2 linked regions of the Kluyveromyces lactis genome follow. The protein of the gene in region 2 purifies or fractionates together with the protein of the main gene of each other region. This does not show direct contact. Links are inferred from orthologs where the notes say so. Each region holds a gene or a part of one and is shown on either strand. Other genes may lie near its edges.

The links.
Region 1: the proteins of ARB1 (region 2) and FUN12 purify together in Saccharomyces cerevisiae (affinity purification with mass spectrometry, with the first as the bait; 3 studies listed by BioGRID). This does not show direct contact. The link is inferred for Kluyveromyces lactis from reciprocal best matches to the Saccharomyces cerevisiae genes ARB1 and FUN12.

Annotation. Positions count from the first base shown.
Region 1 is NC_006042.1:2,170,519-2,174,992, forward strand, and holds FUN12 (translation initiation factor eIF5B), read right to left. Parts: upstream 2,911-4,474; coding exon 7-2,910; downstream 1-6. Other genes in the region: GTP-binding protein RBG1, read left to right, coding at 3,572-4,474. UniProt on the Saccharomyces cerevisiae protein: Plays a role in translation initiation. Translational GTPase that catalyzes the joining of the 40S and 60S subunits to form the 80S initiation complex with the initiator methionine-tRNA in the P-site base paired to the start codon.
Region 2 is NC_006037.1:128,650-132,607, reverse strand, and holds ARB1 (ATP-binding cassette family ATPase ARB1), read right to left. Parts: upstream 2,531-3,958; coding exon 707-2,530; downstream 1-706. Other genes in the region: KLLA0_A01474g (uncharacterized protein), read left to right, coding at 1-185; Golgi transport complex subunit COG1, read left to right, coding at 3,321-3,958. UniProt on the Saccharomyces cerevisiae protein: ATPase that stimulates 40S and 60S ribosome biogenesis.

The sequences.
Region 1 (4,474 bases), on a different chromosome or scaffold from region 2:
ATTTAACTATTCGATTCCAAAGACTGGCTTTAGTTTACGAATCAACATCCAATCAGATTTTGGAACTTGATCTCTGAAAGCAGGATCTTTCAATGTATCAATGGACCTTCTAGTGATGTGAGAATACAATGTATCTTTTTCATCAACATGACGACCCCAGATTGGTTGCTGACCGGAAGGATCTTCTAAACGCATTGCAACACCTGCATTGGTTTGACCCTTCTTGACTTCAGTCACAGATTGGTGATTGATTTCCAAGGAAGTGACTCTACCAAGCAACAATGTTATTCTCTCCTTTGTTGCTGGGTCATATTTCACTGCACAGATAGGAGTACCGATCTTCAATGAACCTTCAATGACATCCACACCAATGATCATAGGGCCACGCTTGTTAATGATTTGTAGAGTGTTCAGGACGCATGGGAAGGTAGCGTCACCGATAAACTCAGCACGACGCTTTTCAAGTAGTTCCTTCTGGTAGGCTGTGAAGGCATCGAATAAATGGTAAATAATATCAGCATTGAAAATTTTGATATGTTGTTCTGCAGCATATTGTTCTGCTTCCTTATCAACCTTGACATCAAAGCATAGCATAACCGCTAATTCAGGAGCTTTTTCTAACATAGTACAAGCCTTCATTATATCACGCTTGTAAACAGGACCTAATCCGACAGACATAACAGGAATTTTCATGTCTTTTAAGAAGTCTAATAAAGCTTCTAATGAACCCAATGTAGAAGCTTGAACAACAACACCTCTACCAGAAGTATCCACAGAGTCTAAAAGACCAGTCAAATCTTCCATGACGTCATCCATCATTTCTTCTTCATCATCGTCTGGACCTACAACTAATAATCGGGAACCAGAAACAGCCTTTTCCAAATCATTTGCAGCAATTTTTACACCTAGAGCAGCCTTGACTTCTTTGTGATGTTGATATTCAGACTTCAAACGTAACTCACGTAAGGGTTGAGGTGTCAACAAGGCTCTGATATTCGTCACAATCGGACCGTTCATACCACATAAAACGATTCTGTCACCCTCTCTTAAGTAACCATTAGATAGAATAACATCGATAGTGGTACCGAAACCTTCAACAACCTTCACTTCAAGAATTGTAGCTTCAACGTGAGACAAATATTTCAATTGCTTAGACATTCTCTTTTGAGTCAATTCTAATAGCAACCACAACAAATCAGGAACACCTTCACCTGTAACGGCAGATGTTGGAACAATAGAGACGTATTTGGCTAGGTTGTTGTTTTGGAAATACAATTCTGAGTTCAAACCTTGTTCAGCAAGAGCGACTTTGATGTTGTCAAGTCTAGTTTGGAACTCTTGCTTAACTGCTCGTTCTTGTTTGTCAAAGGAGTCTCTGAAAGAGTTGTTTGGTGTAATTACCCAGTCGTACAATCTATCGATCTTATTCAAGGCAACGATGAAAGGAGCCTTTCTGTCTCTCAATAATCTGATGGATTCAATGGTTTGTTGTTCTAAACCATGCATGATATCAATAACTAAGATGGCGATGTTACACAAAGAGGAACCTCTGGAACGCAAGTTGGTAAAAGATTCGTGACCTGGTGTATCAATGACTAACAAACCTGGGACATCGAAGGTTTGTTCTTCATACTTAGCCATAACTGCGGTTTTTTGTTCAATAGCGTCAATTGGGAAATAAGTGGCACCGATTTGTTGGGTAATACCACCAGCTTCACCGCCTTGAACGTTGGTTTGTCTAATCTTATCTAACAACTTGGTTTTACCAGTATCGACATGACCCAAGATACAGCAGATTGGAGAACGAAGATCTTTCTTTGCTGCTGCTGCAGATCTCTTGGAAGGGATTGGTTGAGAAGCATAGTTTTTGGTAACTTCAGTGGATAATTCCGGAGCTGGAGTAGTAGCATTAGAAGTTTCAGAACCAGAATATTGCTCTTTTTCACTTGTTTCTTCTTTTCCTTCTTGTTCTTCAGGTTCATCGTCAAGAGCCAAATTCTCCCAGTCATCAATCAACGCTTCCTCTTCTTCTTCGACTTCTTGAGTTTCAGTAGCTTTCTTCTTCTCTTCTTCGATTGCCTTTTCGGACTCGATTTGTTCCTTGGTCTTTCTGACTCTTTTACCGTAAACAACCTTCTTTGGTTTTGGATGCTCATCGCCGGATTTTTCTAGACCAGCAACCTTGATGTTACCGGCAGCCAATAGAGCAGCACGTCTGTTTTCAAGCAGTTTCTTTTCCTCCTTTTGTTTCTTAGTTAGAAGTTTACCCTCTGCCTTTAACTTTTCACGCTTAGCTTGTTCTCTCTCACGCTTAGCCTTTCTAGCTTCTTCCTTTTCTTGTTCAGCCTTGGCCAACTTTTCTTCTTCTTCCTTCTCCAATCTCTCTTCTTCTTCCCTGGCCAACCTTTCTTCTTCTTCTAGCTGCTTTTGTAACTCCAATTGACGTTTCAAAGCAGCAAGACCGGCTGGGACCTTCTTCTTTGGTGCAGCCTTTGGTGCCGCACCTTCAGTGGACTTGCCAGCCTCCTTTTCAGCCTTCAGTTTAGAAGTTTGTTCAGCATGAAGTTTCTTGTTGTTTTCCTTCTGCGCTTGTTGCTGAGCCTTCTTCTTTGCGGCTTGTTCCCTCTTCTTCTCCTTCTCCTTCTCCTTCTTTTCCTTTTCCTTTTCCTTCTTGGACTTCAAGACTGGCTTCTTAGTATCCTCGTCTTCCTTCTTGTCCAGCTTCTTCTTAGATTTCTTCAAAGTGGACATAAAATCTTCCTCAATGGCAGATGCATCGGCAACTTCGGTTTCACCACTTGGCTCAACAGAACCATCTATCGAGGGTTCTACTGAAGATTCTTGAGGAACATCTTCCTCATACTCTTCGTCCCAGTAATTCTGTTGATTCTTCTTTGATTTTTTCGCCATCTTGAACTACTCTTTCGGATACAAAGGTTCTACTTTTACAGTTCTTCCGAAATCTTATTATGATAGACAGCAAACAAAGTGTAAAAGAGGGTTATAACAAGTAAAGAGATAATGTAAAATCCTTTTAATTGATCTTACGCAAAACAATCTTTCAAATAGTTTTAAGTTGTGAGAAAAACCTGTACTAAAAAATAAAAAACTGATGAAAAACTTCAAGTTCATGATTATACGTACCTCGATGGAAAGAAAAAAATAACATACTAGATTACCCTGTCTTTGGTGAGGTGCGCCCAAAATTCATCTTTCAGGGGCCAGAAAGGTCCCATTAGCCTTATTTTCGGGGTGAAGACCGGTCGATGCCATTCAGCATCGCTATTTACGATCGGCGTTGAAGATGTATAAAATATCACCTTGGACGGCTTGAAAAAAATTGACAGCTTCATCTTTGTCAACAGTAGGAAGTTCTACAGATATTCACAATCTCATCGCTTAGGATTAATGATATTAGAGTTTCATTATAGTTTGGTTACAGAGGCCAAAATCAGTTAAACGGTTGGAATCGATAGGTATCAGTCAGTATTCCACTGAGGTTGGCATCAAATTATAAAAAAAGGATTTATTTTGAAGAATTTCCTGATCAATATCTGAATTGAAATAAAAGATGTCTACGACAGTAGAGAAGATTAAGGCCATCGAAGATGAGATGGCCCGTACCCAAAAGAATAAGGCCACTTCTTTTCATTTGGGTCAGTTGAAAGCTAAGCTAGCGAAACTTAGAAGAGAGTTATTGCAGGCTGCTTCAAGCGGTAGTGGTGGTGGTGCCGGTGTTGGTTTCGATGTGGCCAGGACCGGTGTTGCTTCAGTCGGATTTGTTGGGTTCCCCTCAGTGGGTAAGAGTACTTTACTTTCTAAGCTGACTGGTACAGAATCTGAGGCTGCTGAGTACGAGTTTACCACTTTAGTTACGGTTCCAGGTGTCATCAAATATAAGGGTGCTAAGATTCAAATGTTGGATTTGCCGGGTATCATTGACGGTGCTAAAGATGGCCGTGGTCGTGGTAAACAAGTTATCGCTGTGGCCAGAACTTGTAATCTACTATTTATTGTTTTGGACGTTAATAAACCATTGCATCATAAACAAATCATTGAAAAGGAATTGGAAGGTGTTGGTATCCGTTTGAACAAGCAACCTCCAGACATTTTAATCAAGAAAAAGGAAAAAGGTGGTATCTCCATTACAAATACAGTACCATTGACGCATCTAGGCCCGGACGAAATTAGAGCTGTTATGAGTGAATATAGAATCAACAGTGCGGAGCTTGCTTTCAGATGTGATGCCACCGTCGATGATTTGATTGATGTACTTGAAGCTCCATCAAGAAGGTATATGCCAGCTATTTATGTGCTAAACAAGATAGATTCTTTGTCATTAGAAGAATTGGAACTTTTATACAGAATTCCAAATGCAGTTCCAATCTCTTCTGGTAAGGAATGGAATTTGGATGAACTACTAGAAGTTATGTGGGATAGACTAAACTTAGTCCGTGTTTATACTAAGCCAAAG
Region 2 (3,958 bases):
AGGTTCCAGTTTCGTTTTCATCACCATCTGCTCCATCTTCCAGATCTTCGAAAAGCAGCAACAAGAAAAGCAATCATATGAGGTCTGAATCAAGATCTGATGATCATAGCAAATGTTATGCTGGTGCTACGTTTGCTACAGAAGCTCCTCAGGTAACCACCTTGCCGAAACCAAGTTTCGTTTGATACCATGGTTACGAAATGGCCGAAATTTTTCAATTGCATATTATTTCAATAATGACTATTCACTTCTTAACAATTGTGTTTTTTTACAACCAACTTTCGAATGATACAACATACTGTAATTATTGTATATTACGGTTGATCATATTTCAAAAGTTGTATTCATAATCTTGCAAACTCATAATTACAGCACCATAAATGCTGTGTCAATGTTGAACAAGGTTTTGTAAGGTATCTTTTTCCCTTTTTCTCTTTTTTTTTTTTTTTTTTTTGAATCTTTTTTTTTATATCACTTTGATCGGACAGAAACCAATGCAATAATATCAACTTGCTACCACTACTTCTTTGTTTCATATGGTACTGTGTGATCTCAGCATTTGTGTAAAACTAGGTAAATATTAATACCATGATTATTTGTCCCGTCTGTTACTCTAGTTGCAGTATCTTAGTTTTGTCCATTCTTTGGAATTATTTCAGGAAGGCAATGTATAGAATTGACTGTACATAAAAATTTATTAAATAATCTACAAAACCACGTTCTTGGCCAATTTGTTCTTGTAATCCAAGATGCTACCATCCCATCTGGTGGCAGTCTTATGTTCGACAACGAAAATGTCCTTTGCAATCTTGTCAAGCAATCTGAAATCGTGCGAGACAACAACGACACCACCATTGAATTCGTTAATAGCGTCAGCCAAAGAGTCAATAGTTGGAATATCCAAACCGTTAGTAGGTTCATCTAATAGTAGGACATTTGGTTGTTCCAATGCAAGCAATGCAAACACCACTCTTGATCTTTGACCTTCAGAAAGAGTACCCATTTGAACGGTTTGACCTTCACCTGTTAGACCGTAACGACCTAGTTGACCTCTCCAGTATTGGAAATCCTGAGAGACATGTGGATACTTATCACGGACGAATTCCAAGGCAGACTTGGTCAAGTCCAATTGGTCTTGAGAATGTTGGGAGTAAACACCCAATTTGACGTGACTGTGTCTGGAAACACGACCGCTTTGAGTGGTCAATTGACCAGTCATAATCTTCAACAAAGTAGATTTACCAACACCATTTGGACCGACTAAAGCAATTCTAGAGTCCATATCAACACCAAAGTCTAAATGTTCGTATAGGTTGTTTTCTGAGTTACCATCGTAAGAGAAGGAAATATCATCGAATGCCAAAACTGGAGGTGGTAATCTTTCAACCTCTGGGAATCTGAAGGAGAAGACCTTGTCGGCAGCAACTGGTTGAATCAAACCATCCGCTTCCATTTTGTCCAAAATCTTTTGTCTAGACTTGGCTTGCTTAACTAAGTTGGCATAAGTACCAGCAGAAGCAATGAACTTCTTGATATGAGCAATTTCTTCTTGTTGTTTGGTGTATTGTTTCATTTGATTGGTCTCCAATTCGGAACGAGTCTTAACGTAGGAGTCGTAATTACCACCGTATGCCATCAACTTTTGTAATCTCATATCTAACATATTGGTACAAACACCGTTCAAGAAATCTTGAGAATGAGAGACAAGAACCAAAGTTCTGTCGAATCTCTTCAAATATTCTTCTAACCAAACACAAGCTTCCAAATCCAAATGCGCGGTTGGGTCATCCAACAACAAAAGAGTTGGCTTAACGAACAAAGCCTTAGCAAGAGCGACACGCATCTTCCAACCACCAGACATGTCCTTGGTCTTCTTGTTGATAGTCTTAGAGTTGAAACCCAAACCAATCAAGATAATAGCAGCTCTGGATTCGAAAGTGGATGGATCCATATCGTCCATTCTTTCGTATAGTGGTTCCAATAGATCAGATTCAGGACCATCTTCCAAGAGAATCTTTTCTACCAAATCTTCCAATCTTTTCAATTCACCTTGAGCTTCCCTGACGACGTATTCCAAAGCGGAATATTCACTTGGCTCAGCAGGTTCGTCCAACAAATAAATATCAATATTTTCAGGAATTGGGTATTCTCTGCTGGCAACAGCCTTCAAGAAAGTGGACTTACCACAACCGTTTTCACCCAATAAACCATAACGACGACCATAATTTAATTCCAATTGGGAATCTTGGATCAAAACTTTACCGTGGAACAACAAGGAAACAGAAGATAGCTTAATATCACGAGAAGTTTCCAATGAATCTAGAACACCGGTAACGACACGGTCAGATATACCGTCTTTATCTTGTTGCAACTTCAATTGTGCAATTTTGTCAGCTGCAGCGGCGGCTTCATCAACTGTTTCATCTTCCTTCTTGGATCTTCTGGTAGTCTTACCAGCAGCAACCCTCTTGGCGTCTCTTTCGGCTTTTTTGGCATCTCTCTTTGCCTTAGATGCAGATACTGGAGCCATTTTCTTTGTACTTTATATTAACGTGTTACCTGTTCCGAATATGCGTGAATATCACTGACAAATATGGAAGATATATCTCGAACTTGTTCAAATACCTGTGTATGAATAATAAGTCTCTGTAGCAACTAACAAAAAAAGGCTATCAGACGCTTTCTTTATAATTCAATACTCTCTAAATGATGAACAAATAAGAGGTTAAATAGCTTGGATATATGTGGATCTAATCTAAGAATACAAAGGAAACAACTGTGTATATAATGGTATATCCATTTCTAACTTTTATTAGATTTTAAACTCTCTAAGATGGGTATAGTTTAGTTTCTAAATATTAAATCAGAGAGATGAGCTTTTGCAAAATTCGATCTTTCTTCTGAAAATTCTTTTCAACGAATTCTTCGATATCTCGCCTCGTATAAAGCGAGAATATAGCCTTTCACATTTCTTTATATGAAATGACGAAGGTCGTGCTTCTTGCTTATGCAAAAAAAGTGGAATTCCTCAGAAAAAAAACAAAGAGCGCCGGTTCGACTGTCAAAGGGAGCTTAATAGACTTTTGTTTTTTGATAAATTTCAATTTCATGAACTTTGTTCAGCTGTACCCAATATATTCAGTCTGAGAACCAATGGATGGTAAAGAGAAACCACAGCTTTGTTAAGATAACTCATTGAATGACGACGAAAGTGTTGAATCTTGGAAGCAGATACACGCATTCGCATTCACGTTCACATACACGTATTATCCGTTGAAAATAGAAGTAACGAAAGCTAACTGTCTGTTTGTTATACTGATATGTCTGCTAGTCTATTTAGAGAGAAATCTGTGGCCGAAGTGAGGGACATTTCTGTTCAATTGAGTAGAGATGTGGTTAAACTTCGTGAGGAATTTGGGAAGGCATTGAAAAGCAACTACCAAGCTGTTGTCGATACCAATGAGCAGATACACTCTCTTTATGAGAATATCCAGGATTTGGATTCAGATCTTTTGCAATTGTGCTTTGGTGATGAGGATTTGTTGCCCAGGATGAATGATACCGAATTGCCATCCATGAAGGTGGCTAAGCGAAGAGGAAGTGACGGTACTTATGGTCGAGAGTCATCGTTCTCTAGCTCGGTTCAGAAGCAACATCTTGAGGAGTCCTATGACTTCAACATAGATGAGGTACAGAACACCCTCAAAGTGAGTTCATGGGTAGTAGCATTGACAAAATTCAAACGTGATCCTTCAGTGTCGGATAGCTTGGACAAGCTTTTGTCTTCTTTCTCGGATTTGCCGATAACTGGAAATGTATTGGATTACTGTGAAAAACTAGGGGAATGGGTAATAACGGAAAAGCCGTCATTAACCTTAGATCAATACCTTTCGCTACTGTCACTTACAGAAGAATCAAAATATCAATTTGATAGCAGAGTTCATACTTGGCTGTTTGA